Linked DNA regions of Caenorhabditis elegans. The protein of the gene in region 3 interacts with the protein of the main gene of each other region in a pairwise test. Each region holds a gene or a part of one and is shown on either strand. Other genes may lie near its edges. The genes, in order: gei-4, magi-1 and golg-2.

The links.
Region 1: the proteins of golg-2 (region 3) and gei-4 interact in a two-hybrid assay, tested with the Caenorhabditis elegans proteins (one large-scale study listed by BioGRID).
Region 2: the proteins of golg-2 (region 3) and magi-1 interact in a two-hybrid assay, tested with the Caenorhabditis elegans proteins (one large-scale study listed by BioGRID).

The regions. Positions count from the first base shown.
Region 1 is NC_003281.10:346,537-350,290, reverse strand, and holds the start of gei-4 (BZIP domain-containing protein), read left to right. Parts: upstream 1-1,863; 5' UTR 1,864-1,890; coding exon 1,891-2,073; intron 2,074-2,126; coding exon 2,127-2,246; intron 2,247-2,381; coding exon 2,382-2,450; coding exon of another isoform or gene 2,451-2,603; intron 2,604-2,853; coding exon 2,854-3,252; intron 3,253-3,407; coding exon of another isoform or gene 3,408-3,422; coding exon 3,423-3,523; intron 3,524-3,754.
Region 2 is NC_003282.8:11,713,171-11,716,924, reverse strand, and holds the start of magi-1 (Guanylate kinase), read right to left. Parts: upstream 1,887-3,754; 5' UTR 1,836-1,886; coding exon 1,817-1,835; intron 1,770-1,816; coding exon 1,705-1,769; intron 1,529-1,704; coding exon 1,462-1,528; intron 942-1,461; coding exon 704-941; intron 659-703; coding exon 462-658; intron 401-461; exon of another isoform or gene 224-400; intron 66-223; coding exon 1-65.
Region 3 is NC_003280.10:5,038,242-5,041,995, forward strand, and holds the start of golg-2 (Golgin subfamily A conserved domain-containing protein), read right to left. Parts: upstream 1,851-3,754; 5' UTR 1,794-1,850; coding exon 1,737-1,793; intron 1,682-1,736; coding exon 1,490-1,681; intron 1,444-1,489; coding exon 1,369-1,443; intron 1,283-1,368; coding exon 1,187-1,282; intron 1,138-1,186; coding exon 169-1,137; intron 113-168; coding exon 1-112. Other genes in the region: F33G12.7 (uncharacterized protein), read right to left, coding at 2,040-2,137, 2,188-2,275, 2,322-2,438.

The DNA.
Region 1 (3,754 bases), on a different chromosome or scaffold from region 3:
GTTCTCTATTTTAACAGACCCAAGAGGCCTGATATCATAGCCTCTGAATACGGTAGAAGCCAAGTTCTGCTCCTCTTCCTCTCCTTATACTATCTCCTGTGCTTCTTCTCCTTCTTCTTTCCTCACTGAGAGTGCCTGAGAGTTATTGTCGGCCGTCATTCGCCTCTCTTGTTTTCGAGTCTGCCGCACCCTCCGATCCATCTCTCCCCATCTTTCTCTCCGCATCACGTTACCCATTCATTCGGCACTCCTCCACGCACTCTCCACAATCGATACGCTGTCGTCACGGCCTCTAAGCACACACACTCCACGACGGGCGCGCTCTCTCGTGCCGGGTGTCTCGTGATCTCCGCCACTCGGCACAGTGTCTAGTGATGTTTGGACTCTCCGCAGCGCGCATTGTGTATGCGAGTGTGCAACGCGTCTCCGCGTCGCGGTCGGCCTCCCCTCGTACACAATGCCCCGCCCGTCTCCAATCTCTCCTCCCTCTCGTCCTATGCGCCCCAAATCGTCCTCTTCTTTTGTGTATATGTTTCGTTTTCTCTTAGTCTTCTTCCTCTTCTACTACTACTACTTTTTGCCCCCCGTCTTGTTCCCTTCATCTCCCTACACTTCTTCTTCTTCTTACCATCCCCAACCGCATCCATCCGCCATCACACACTCTTTTCCGCTGATTTTGGGAGCGCAGAGACAGAAGGCAGGCAGGCAACAAAATAGTGTGGTTAACAGTGATGATGGGAAGAGCATGGGCGGTTTAGGCGCGAAGAGGACAAATTTGAATTCTAAAAATCGACTTGAAACGGAGAGGTACAGGTTGGATTTGATGCCTTGGCCGTGAAATGGGAAAATTCGGAGGGATTTTCAGAGAACCCACAGCGATAGGAATTGGAAGACGGTATTAGAACCATTACATTAGGCTTTAGGCTCAGGTACTTGGATACGGGGCCCTCGTGGTGTCAGGCTGTCCTACTATGGTTTGATCTACAAAAAAATGCGGAAATTTTTGGCCCATAAAAATGTGACGTCAGCAAGTTCTTAACCATGCAAAATCAGTTGAGAACTCTGCGCCTCAACTCCGGCATTTTTTGTAGATCTACGCAGATCAAACCGAAATGAGACACTCTGAGACTTTTTCGTGGGGACCGCGGATATAAAAGGTCGGCCACCAAAATTCATTGCTCTTCTAGAATGCTAACTCTGCCTCTGGAACCCAAAATACCTCTGGATTTGCTGAAACTAGCTTAAAAGTGGATCAGCAGGACCTTTTCCGCAGGATTTAGAGGGACTGACCGAGTTTTCTCTTTCACGGCCACCATGTTCAAGCAGTGCACCTGGGCACCTGTGCACACAGCTCCAACACGAAAAGAAACTAAGATTTTTGCATTTTCAGTAAAATTCAGAAAATTCCACGTGGATCAGTGAAAATTTGGCGCAATTCCGTCGAAATTAGTACATGCTGGGACTATAATAAGAATTTTTTAAGCTTTTGCAGTGAGATACGTTGTTTTCAATTTTATTTTTCAATTTTTCAATCAAAATTCATGTATTCTTCTTTTGTTCCAGTCATTTTAAGCAGTGTTTTCATTATTCTAGTCTTATGAAATTCGAAAAATTGAGAAGGAGGCAAGTGCGCTCCAGTGACACTCCGGCAAATTTGAATTCGAAACTTATCTGCTTCTCTATTTTTCTCACTTTCTCCATTTAATTTCTTATTTTTCTTTGGTTTTCCTGGTTTTCCTTGGTTTTTCTTCAAAAAATTAATTTTTCAAGTGATTAAAATTGTTTCCAGCACAATTATATCCTTATTAAATCGCAATTCTCATCGGAAACTAGCTTAAAAACCTAAAATTCCAATTTTTTCAGGCTCGGAAACACAAAAAATAATAAAAAATGCAGCAGAATATACAATACACATACAGTTCGGATCCCCGCTCGGGCGGTAATCAAAATCAGCAGCTACACGGAATATCGCAATTTCAACAGAACTCCTATCAGCCGACGACGTATTCAAATTCAAATGCGAACAATTTTCATTCCTCTAATTCCGCAACTTTTATACCTAATTCAGTGACGGTAGGGGATTTTCAGGAAATCGAGTGAAAATGTTCAATTTTATTTAATTTCAGCAAACACCTCAGCGGCGGATGGGAGAAGAGAAGAGTTTAGTTAATATGCTTGACGCTTATTTTATCGACAGTACGACACCTTCAACATCAACGTCGTGGAATAATCAGCAGCCAGTTCAGGTAAAAATCGTAAAAATCGTGCGATTTGGCTTAAAAAAATGGCGGAAATCTCGAAAAATCTCGATTTTCCTCATTTTTTACCGTAAATTCTATCGTAATTGTGGTTGTGTTTGTGAATCGTGATTTATTTTATAGATGTCTTCAATACAACAATCAGTTGGATCATACAATCAACAAATACCTCAGTTGAAAGTAGGAGATGTGGTAAATTCGTTGTTTTTTCTTTGTTTTTTTTTGGGGAGAATTTCGTGTTATTCAGTGATTTTTTCAAGGAATTTTGAATTTTGCAGCTCGAAATCCGCGTGGATTTTCGCATTTGAGCGGATTTTTCAAAAAATTTGCTCAAAAAGTCGATAAGTTACTGGAACTTGCTTAGTTTTGCAACTATGGTCTGCTAAATAATTAGCAGACCAAAGGTGGGTATGCTAAATATTTAGCAGGCCCAAGTTGGGTATGCTAAATATTTAGCAGACCCAAGATGCGAAATCGAGCAGAATTTGTCCATTTCTCGAGTTTTAATGCGAATTTTAAGTTTCAACACACTGAAAACACGAATTGAATGAAATCACGCAGCGAACTCACCGAGCACACCTCAGAAACATTTCAGGACCTACAAGTAGAAGGAATGAATGTTAAACTCTCCTCGTCACCCGACAAAGGCGAGAAGGATCGAGTAAAGAAGGCGCGACAGGCAGAAGCCGCCCGAATGCGTTATCACCGACTATCAAACGAAGAGAAACGAGAGTTAAACCTGAAAAGAACGTTGGCGCAGAAGCGAAAACGGCAACGTGAGAAGGAGATGGAGGAGCTCGAATCGATTTTGCGGGAGACAAATGACATTCAAGAGGATCCGGACATCACCGAACAGCTCAGAGAGAAGAGAATGCGGGCCAAGTGGGCAGAGGCCGCCCGTACACGTTACGCTAGAATGACGCCGGAAGAGCGCCGGGCGCACAATACGCGGAGACGTATGCGGCAGATGCAGAACGCGATGAGCGCGATTAAGGTGAATATAGAACATTGAATTCTAGCAGAAAATCTGGAAAATTAGCGGAGAAGAGGAAAATTTAATTGGGTGAAAATCTATTTTTGGTAAAATCTCTCCTCCCTAACACACAAAATTTGTAATTTTTCCGCTGCTACCGTGACGTAACATTCCAGAAATCGGAGTTTCAGGCATGTGGAATGGCTACAGGAGATCCACAGAAGGACGACGAGGCTGTCCGGTTGCACATCAAGACGCAGAATGCGAAAAAAGCGGAGGCGGCTCGTCAACGGTAAGGAAGAGATTCGGGGGAATCAGAATAGCTTGGGTCTGCTAAATATTTACCATACCAAACTTGGGTCTGCTAAATATTCAGAATGGGTCTGCTAAATATTTAGCATACCCAACTTTGGTCTGCTAAATATTTATTTGGGTCTGCTAAATATTTAGCATACCCATCTTTGGTCTGCTAAATATTTAGCAGACCCAACAATTGCGAAATTCACCTGAGTTTCCACACATT
Region 2 (3,754 bases), on a different chromosome or scaffold from region 3:
ATCTACAGACACAAATCGATAGTGTTCTCCATCAACTTCACCTTCTCGTGGAGGTCGAGTTGTGTCTGAAAATGGTCACTTTGAAATTGAAATTTGTTTTAACTTCAATACTTGTCCCTCCATAATAATCTTTTAGATCAATAACAGGAAGAGATGTTCGTTTGGAAAGAAATGCAGGTTTTAGTGAATGTTTTGGTAAAGGCGAACCGAACATTTTAACACTTCCACTGGTGGCCAGCTTCGGACCCTCCCCCACCTTGTGATGATCCCCTAGATCCTAAATCACCTAATTTAATGGGGCGGATGTCTAGGTTTCTCTAGATCACACACTATTTCATCTCAATGATACTCCCTGTGGGCAGCTGCTAGTGCCATTGAAAACAATGAGGTTTTGAGGAATGAAACTTATAAGTATTAAATCCAATCTAGTTAGTTTCAGATCAACTTTTTTTGTAACTCACAAGGAACTGTCTTCTGATATAAATTTTCTCGAATGATAGTCTGAAGTTCACCAGATGATTTTCTATCGGCCAGTAGTTCACAAATATCATCGGTAATTGCTCCAGCTGGTAGAATTTCAATCGCAATTTGATCATGTTCTCTCATCATATCTTCCAATATCCTATTCACTTCAGATCTTACCATTCCTGATACTTTTCTGAAAATTTAAATAATAAAAAAAGAAATGTTCTAGAAAACCTACATGTTCTCAATTGTTAAAAGAATATCGTTAGGATGAACAATTCCAATTAAATCATCACGTCGCACAATATCAATCAGAATGAGTCGTCCAATTGAGGCTCCGCCATGTACTGTAAACGGGGTGATGACGTCTCGAGATGAAGAGTTTCCAGAGTCCGAATGGCAAGAAGATGTCGTGGAAATATGATGATGTTCACTGGCAATACGGATCAGTCGACGAGCAGCAAGTCCGGATGGCACTAGAATATTAAAAATTATTTTCAGTCTTTTTTTGGCTATTTCCTGATTTTTGGTTTTTTTTTCAAAAATGATCTTTCTTGACTTACAATGATTTTTTTTGCTTTAGTTGTTAAATTTTTATTCGGAACCCAAACAAAAAAAAATTTTAAGACAGTCTTGATGAATATTAAAAAATTAGGTATTAACGTGTGCTCCTACTGTGTTTCTTTTGACAGTGAAAGTATTCAACTAGTAAAATTTAGGTTACATTTTTATCTTTAGAAATAATCGAAATATGAAATCTCAGAGTATAGAAATGTAGGTGTAATACTAATAGGGAGCATATTGTATTATATCTATCTATGTTTGAAAAAAAAACTCACTAAAGAATTAAAAACTTTTCAACCACACAATAACTAAAAGCTCTGTTTTATATTTCACTGTAAACTGAACTTTGAAATGCATGGAATATTCAAACTTTAAACTTCTTCGTTAAACTCAATATCTTTCTTGAAGGTCATAAATGATTGAATAACTCACGTTTGTCAGTGGAATCTAGTGAAGTGCTTGGGCTGCTCGTGCAATCGAGCATTTCTTGAAGAGTGGCCTGAAAACTTGGGATAGTGAGGGGAGGAATTCAGAAGGACGACGAACAAGTGGTTGGGAAGAGCCTTCCACTACTTCACTAATCCTTTTTTCTTGCGAATAAACAATGGGAAGTGGTTTTGAAATGAGTTTTATTTTGGGGTGGAGCCGTTAGACATGAAACAAATCAAAACAAACCTGAAGCTTTTCAATTTCCAATGTGAAATCATCCTTTTCTTCATCTCCAATTTTCAGGCAAAGTTCTGAAATTAATAATCTTGATGTTTATGGACTAAACTCTCAATCTCACCAGCTGTTTTGTCGGTCATCTTTTTAGTCGTGGGTTCATTAAGAGAATGTCGAGTTGGAATGTCTTCTCTGCAACGAAAATGAATTACTATCTTCAAAGTTCGGAATGGCCCATGAGAAAGGGGACCGCATAAATTTTGCGAAAACAAATAAATATTTATTACGAAACAACCGTTTGTGTGTCGGCGACCTCAAGAGAACCCGAAGGAGAGCAAGGGACAAGCAAAAGATGAGAAAGAGTGCAGTGTGAATATGAATAAGGCGCTGTCGAAATGACAAATTAATAATGAGTCAGAGATTGGAAATTGGAAGAAGAATAAATAAGAAGAAGTGCGCGCAGATTTTTCAGAAAGTTTAGCACTGTCAGGTGACAACAAGATATTTGCGCAAAATGTATTGAAAAGTATAGCGCAAAACGAGCAAGAAAAACCGAAAAATGAAGTCTTCGACTAAAAAAATTTCGCGCGCCCTATTTTGAACTCAATTTGAACAGAAACAAAACAAATCGTGTAATGTTTTGGAAGTTCGAAGATATTATTGATAAAAGAAAAAAATGAAAAAAGCGAAAAAAAATTGAATTGTTCCATGTAGTGTCTTAAAGAGGTATGTGGAAGACTAGCAGGGATGCAATACTGTTTATCGATCGACTAAACCGAGGGGCAACTCTAACACGCGTGCAGTGTACCCACCACCATTTGGCCTACATGAATTGCGGGAAATGTAGTGTGTTGTATATATTTTAGTGCGGTCACACCTGTTGTTTTCTACGGGTATCACTCAATAAATTTTGTTACTAAAAGAGACATGAAAAATATTTAAACTCTATTTTTTAGTAAAAACTGGTGTTTCTAATAAAAATTCAACTAAATAATATAAGTAAGTTTTCAATACATATTTATAATGAATTAGATAAAATTGAAATATACATGTTAACTTAATAATTTTAGAGTCATGATTACTGTAGCACTTTAAAACTTTCTAGTAATAAATTAGAAAATTTAGACAATATTTTGAAAAGAATAACATTACTTTAGCGAAAATACTTGCCACTTTCGAAAATTTGAAATTCGTCAAAAATCCCACTTTCGTTCGAAAAGCCGTGAGTCATTGCACCTGGGAAACTCGATTCCCTTCTTTCTTAATGTTGGAAAATTTTTGAATTTAAAAATAAAATACAACTATTAGGAGCTATAGTTTCAGGACAGTCGGAAAATTTTCAATTTGGTCCAGAAGGTTCGAGTTGACCGTCGGCAAGCCTAGAGCATTTTCTTGCGAGGCGCAAAAAAGCTGAATGTGATATTTGGAGAACAAACATACACTTTGCCGTTACGGCACGCACTTTTGCTTCTCGCCGATAATATGGTGAACGGTTTTCTCATAAAGCGTTAAATCCTCTGCGGATAGAAAAAGAAAGGGAGACAGGTCAATTTTGTAACATACTAATGGTAAACGCACCGAGACGACAGCGCTGGTCAGGCTCATATAATTCGTCAAGTTCTTCTTCTTCTTCTCCGATTTCTACACAAACTTCCGAAAGTTTTCAACATCTGCCACGCATCTGGCATGTTGTGCTGCAGCAGTCACCACAGAATCACAGTGATGACAGCGACTTTAGAAACAAAAATGAAGGACAAGAAGTAGAAGAAGGGGACGGCTGTTTGCAATTTGTACTCGAGGGAATCAGCTGGAGATTCGTAGTTACGAGAACACAACGAAAAAGACACACATTAATCCTGAGAAATGCAAAAATTTGATTGATGCTGAGAAGAGACAAAGGCGAAACAGGGAAAATCATGCTTCCAAAATATAGTTGAAGTTCTCTACAGAGAACTCCTATAGGAACCTTTATGTAGGTAGATCACATTATTTACTGAATTCTCAATATTCATGAAAACACACAAATGCCTACCTTTGTGCCTACATGATTTGCCGCGCGCTT
Region 3 (3,754 bases):
CGACATCTGCTTTTTCTTTCGTAAGAGTAACAAATCGGTCTTCCGTTTCCAAGAGACGTTCTTTAAGCTCTTTGTTTTGTGCCACTGCGCGGGATACGGTCGCTTTTTCGTTCTGTAAATTCGAAAATTTGAAAAATCAGGGAAAAATATTGAAAATTGTAAATCTACCTGTAGTTGCTCTGAAAGAGACAACAAATCAGCTCCGTTTGCAGTTGACTCTAACGTTCGTTCTTCCAAAAGTCGATATTTCATTTCAAGTTCTGCCAATGACTGTTCTCTTTCGAAAATAACTTTGTCTTTTTCTAGAATTTCTTCTTCTCTGCGTTTCTGATCATCCTCACTTCTTCGTTCCCACTTCCCTCTTTCAACGAAACACGCTTCACGAATCCGTCTTGCTACATCTTCTTCTGTGATAGTTGGAATTTCATCATGCCTCTCAGAAACATCCATATTCATTTGAAGCTTCTGCAGTTCAGATTGAGCAATTTCGAGTTGATTTTCGAGATGTTCAACTTGATCGTTTGAAGAAAATTTTTGATTATGCAAATGCTCGATTTCTAAAGCCATCTCTGCTTGCTTTTGTTGAAGTGCATACTCTCGATCAGCATAGTGAGCTTTTAATGTCGCAGATTCGACGAGAAGACGTGATTTTTCAGCTTTAACGTTCTCCAGCTCACGTTGCAAGTTTTCATAATTCGTATTCTCATTCGGAATCCCTCCCGGCGGTCCTGTGGCTCCAAGTTGTTTCAAATAAAGATCTTTCATTTGAATGTCTTTCATGAGCTGACTGATGCGATTTTCTTGAGCCGCCGTTTCTTTTATCATACTTTTCACACGTGCTTGTGCTTCACTTCTCTCGTGTTGAACATTTAGCAGGTTAGCTTGCATTGATGCAACTTCTCGTCGAGCTCCTTCTAGCTCTTGATGACGTGCAGTTAATAGGGAATCTTTTTGTGCAATTGCTTCATTGAGTTTTCGAATTTCGTTTGACGAAAGTCCAGATGATGTTGAATTGCTCATTTGGTTGGCAATGTTCTCTGCAGCAGCCAGCTTGTGTCGAAGTTTTTCGATTTGCTTGTTTGCCTGACGAAGATCACTTTGAGACGAAACTTTCTCTTCAACCATTGCAGACAATGCCTGAATACTCCATCATTAAATTAAAATAAATAAAACGAGTAATCCTTACATTTTGGAGTTGGACAATTTGATTTTCTGTATCCACATGTATTCCATTTGCATTGACTTGTGAATAAGCGGAATGAAGTTGGGAGTAATGGGCACACTAAAATGATTTTTTTTTTAATAAAATCATTATTCATATAATTAACGAATTAGTTTTTGTATTTGTCAATTTCTCATTATCCTTACCAATTCGTCATGCTGGGTCTTCAATTGTGTATATGCCTGATACCATTCGTTTCCGTTCGGTTGAAATGGTGAAGCCTGAAGAAAACATTTACTCATTTAACGATGTTATCGATTTTCTCACATCCAATCCATTTCTTGCATTCAAACTTTGTGCAGAAGAAGATGAGTGTGGAATTTGAAGCGCTGTCGAATCTTCACTGACAACGCTGCTCCGTCCATTTAAACCTGCTCCAGCACCCGGCTCTGATGAAATGATACTTGATGCAGGAGAATTACGTCCATCGAGTCTTTGACGTGCTTCAAAGTCTTTCAGCTGTAAAATTTACTCTATAAACTTTGTTTTAATAAAGTTTCCTCACGATTCTCACCTTTTTCCTGGCCGCTGCCAGCATTTCAGCTTTGGCAGGTGCAGCGGCATCGACCATATCACTGATTAATCCAGCTTTACGCCGAAAAACAGTAAAATCTATCGATTTTAAAAGCTGAAAATGAAAAAAGACGTGGAAATTAGTGGTTGGACGCAAACACCGCAATTGACGACATAGCGCAGACAACAAAGCGAGTTCGCAATGAAAGCAGCAGAAATTCACACAAAAAAGAAAAAATAATAGGTTTATGTACAAATAACTAACGAAACTTTGGAAATAAATGCTAAAAAACAACCGAGCAAATTAGAAAACTGGAGGCTTGTGATCAGATGAGACAGGCGAATCGGTTTGCCCCTTGGTGAGCCAGGCAAGAGGTTCTCGTGTGAACGTGCGGTATGCTTCTAGAATTAAGTAGTTGAAGATAACATTTTAATTGAGAATATCAACTCACTAGCCCACTTTGAATCAGGATTGATCTCATCTTGGAAGTAGGCATAAGAAAATATCAGCATGCCTACTCCAAATGCGATTAGGGAGTTCTGGAAAATACTTAATTCGTTTTTAAAATTGATTATCAAAATAGACCTCTCTAAAAGAAAGCTTCTTTCCTCCTTTAGGTAACTGATTTTCCGTGATTTCCTTCCATTCGGCCTGCCCGTCTTTTCTTCTGATTAAAACACGCAAAATCCGAGTCAATCTCATCTGGAACAAAATCTGTTTTATTTTCTGCCTTTTTATTTGTTTTAAAAATTGGAAACGAAAAGGACAAAGCGAGAAGTCAAAGTCTTCCAGTAATTTGATATTTTAGAAGGAATTGAATTGGTCATGGAATTCCGGAAGGGGACAAAATATTTTTAAACGGACATAGGAAATGGGGAATTTTATGAAGCAAAATATATGTTATATAATCGAATGTATTAAATTTGAAAAAAATGTGAAGAAAATTAATAAAAAAATACTAGGAAAAAAAATATCTTCAAAAATTTTTGATGAAAACGCGCCCCATTGGCACTTACTAGAGACACAATACGCAGGAAAACGAAATTTATGAGTACATAGAAGTGAATATTGGAAAATGTTCTTCAAAACTTTTCATGACAGTGTTAAACTGAAAATTAAAAAGAATGGTGATCATAGTAGCAACGAATTCATATGAGATATATGTAAAATATTTAAAAATGAAGGATAAATGAGGAATATATAATTCCCGAGTGTGGAGGGGTACTGTAGGAGAACATAAACAAGCCTATTATCTCTGTATACTGTAAAGCATTAGAATACACAAGCAAATTTGAAGATTATATTTTGGTTATTCGCTCAGTTTTTAAAAATATTTGGAAAAACACTGATACGAGTTTCCGAAATTTTTGAAGACCAATTGTTCAGTACCTAGAAACCTTTCGGAAAAATAATCAATGTCATTACTGTAGTTCTCTGAAAAAATGTGTTATCTGAAACTGTCACTTGCATATAAAATACGACCTTCCTCCAAATCACGCTCTGAGCACAATCGATCTTTCTACTCCAGCTGTGTACATGGACGGACATAAAGGACAGCCGTCAGTGTCACTTCCGCGCCACTTTTTTCAAATGTTTTATGCAAGTTTTTGGTTTAGTTTTGTTTCGAATTTATTCCCAATTGAATTGAATTCGTGACTGCAGAAGAAAATCGAATCGAATCTCCTTTTTAGCGACTCGGATATACCCTGAATTTTTTTTGGAGTACTGTACTATAAACTTTCTCTCCACTTCAGCAATATTTATAATATCCTATAGGAGAACGGCTACTTTCTCGGAACAAAAATATTTCTACAAAACTATTTTTTAATTTTTGCGCAAATGAATTAAGAATTCTCCTTTGGCGGCTGCGGTTATATATTAATTCCAAACTTGTATAGAAAACACACGAAGTGAGGTAAAACCTATTATTATTCAGTTTTTCACTCAAAAATACAGTCCTTGATCTTGCTACGACCGAAATATGTCCGTCGAGTACACGGTAAAGTAGTTTGCGCCTC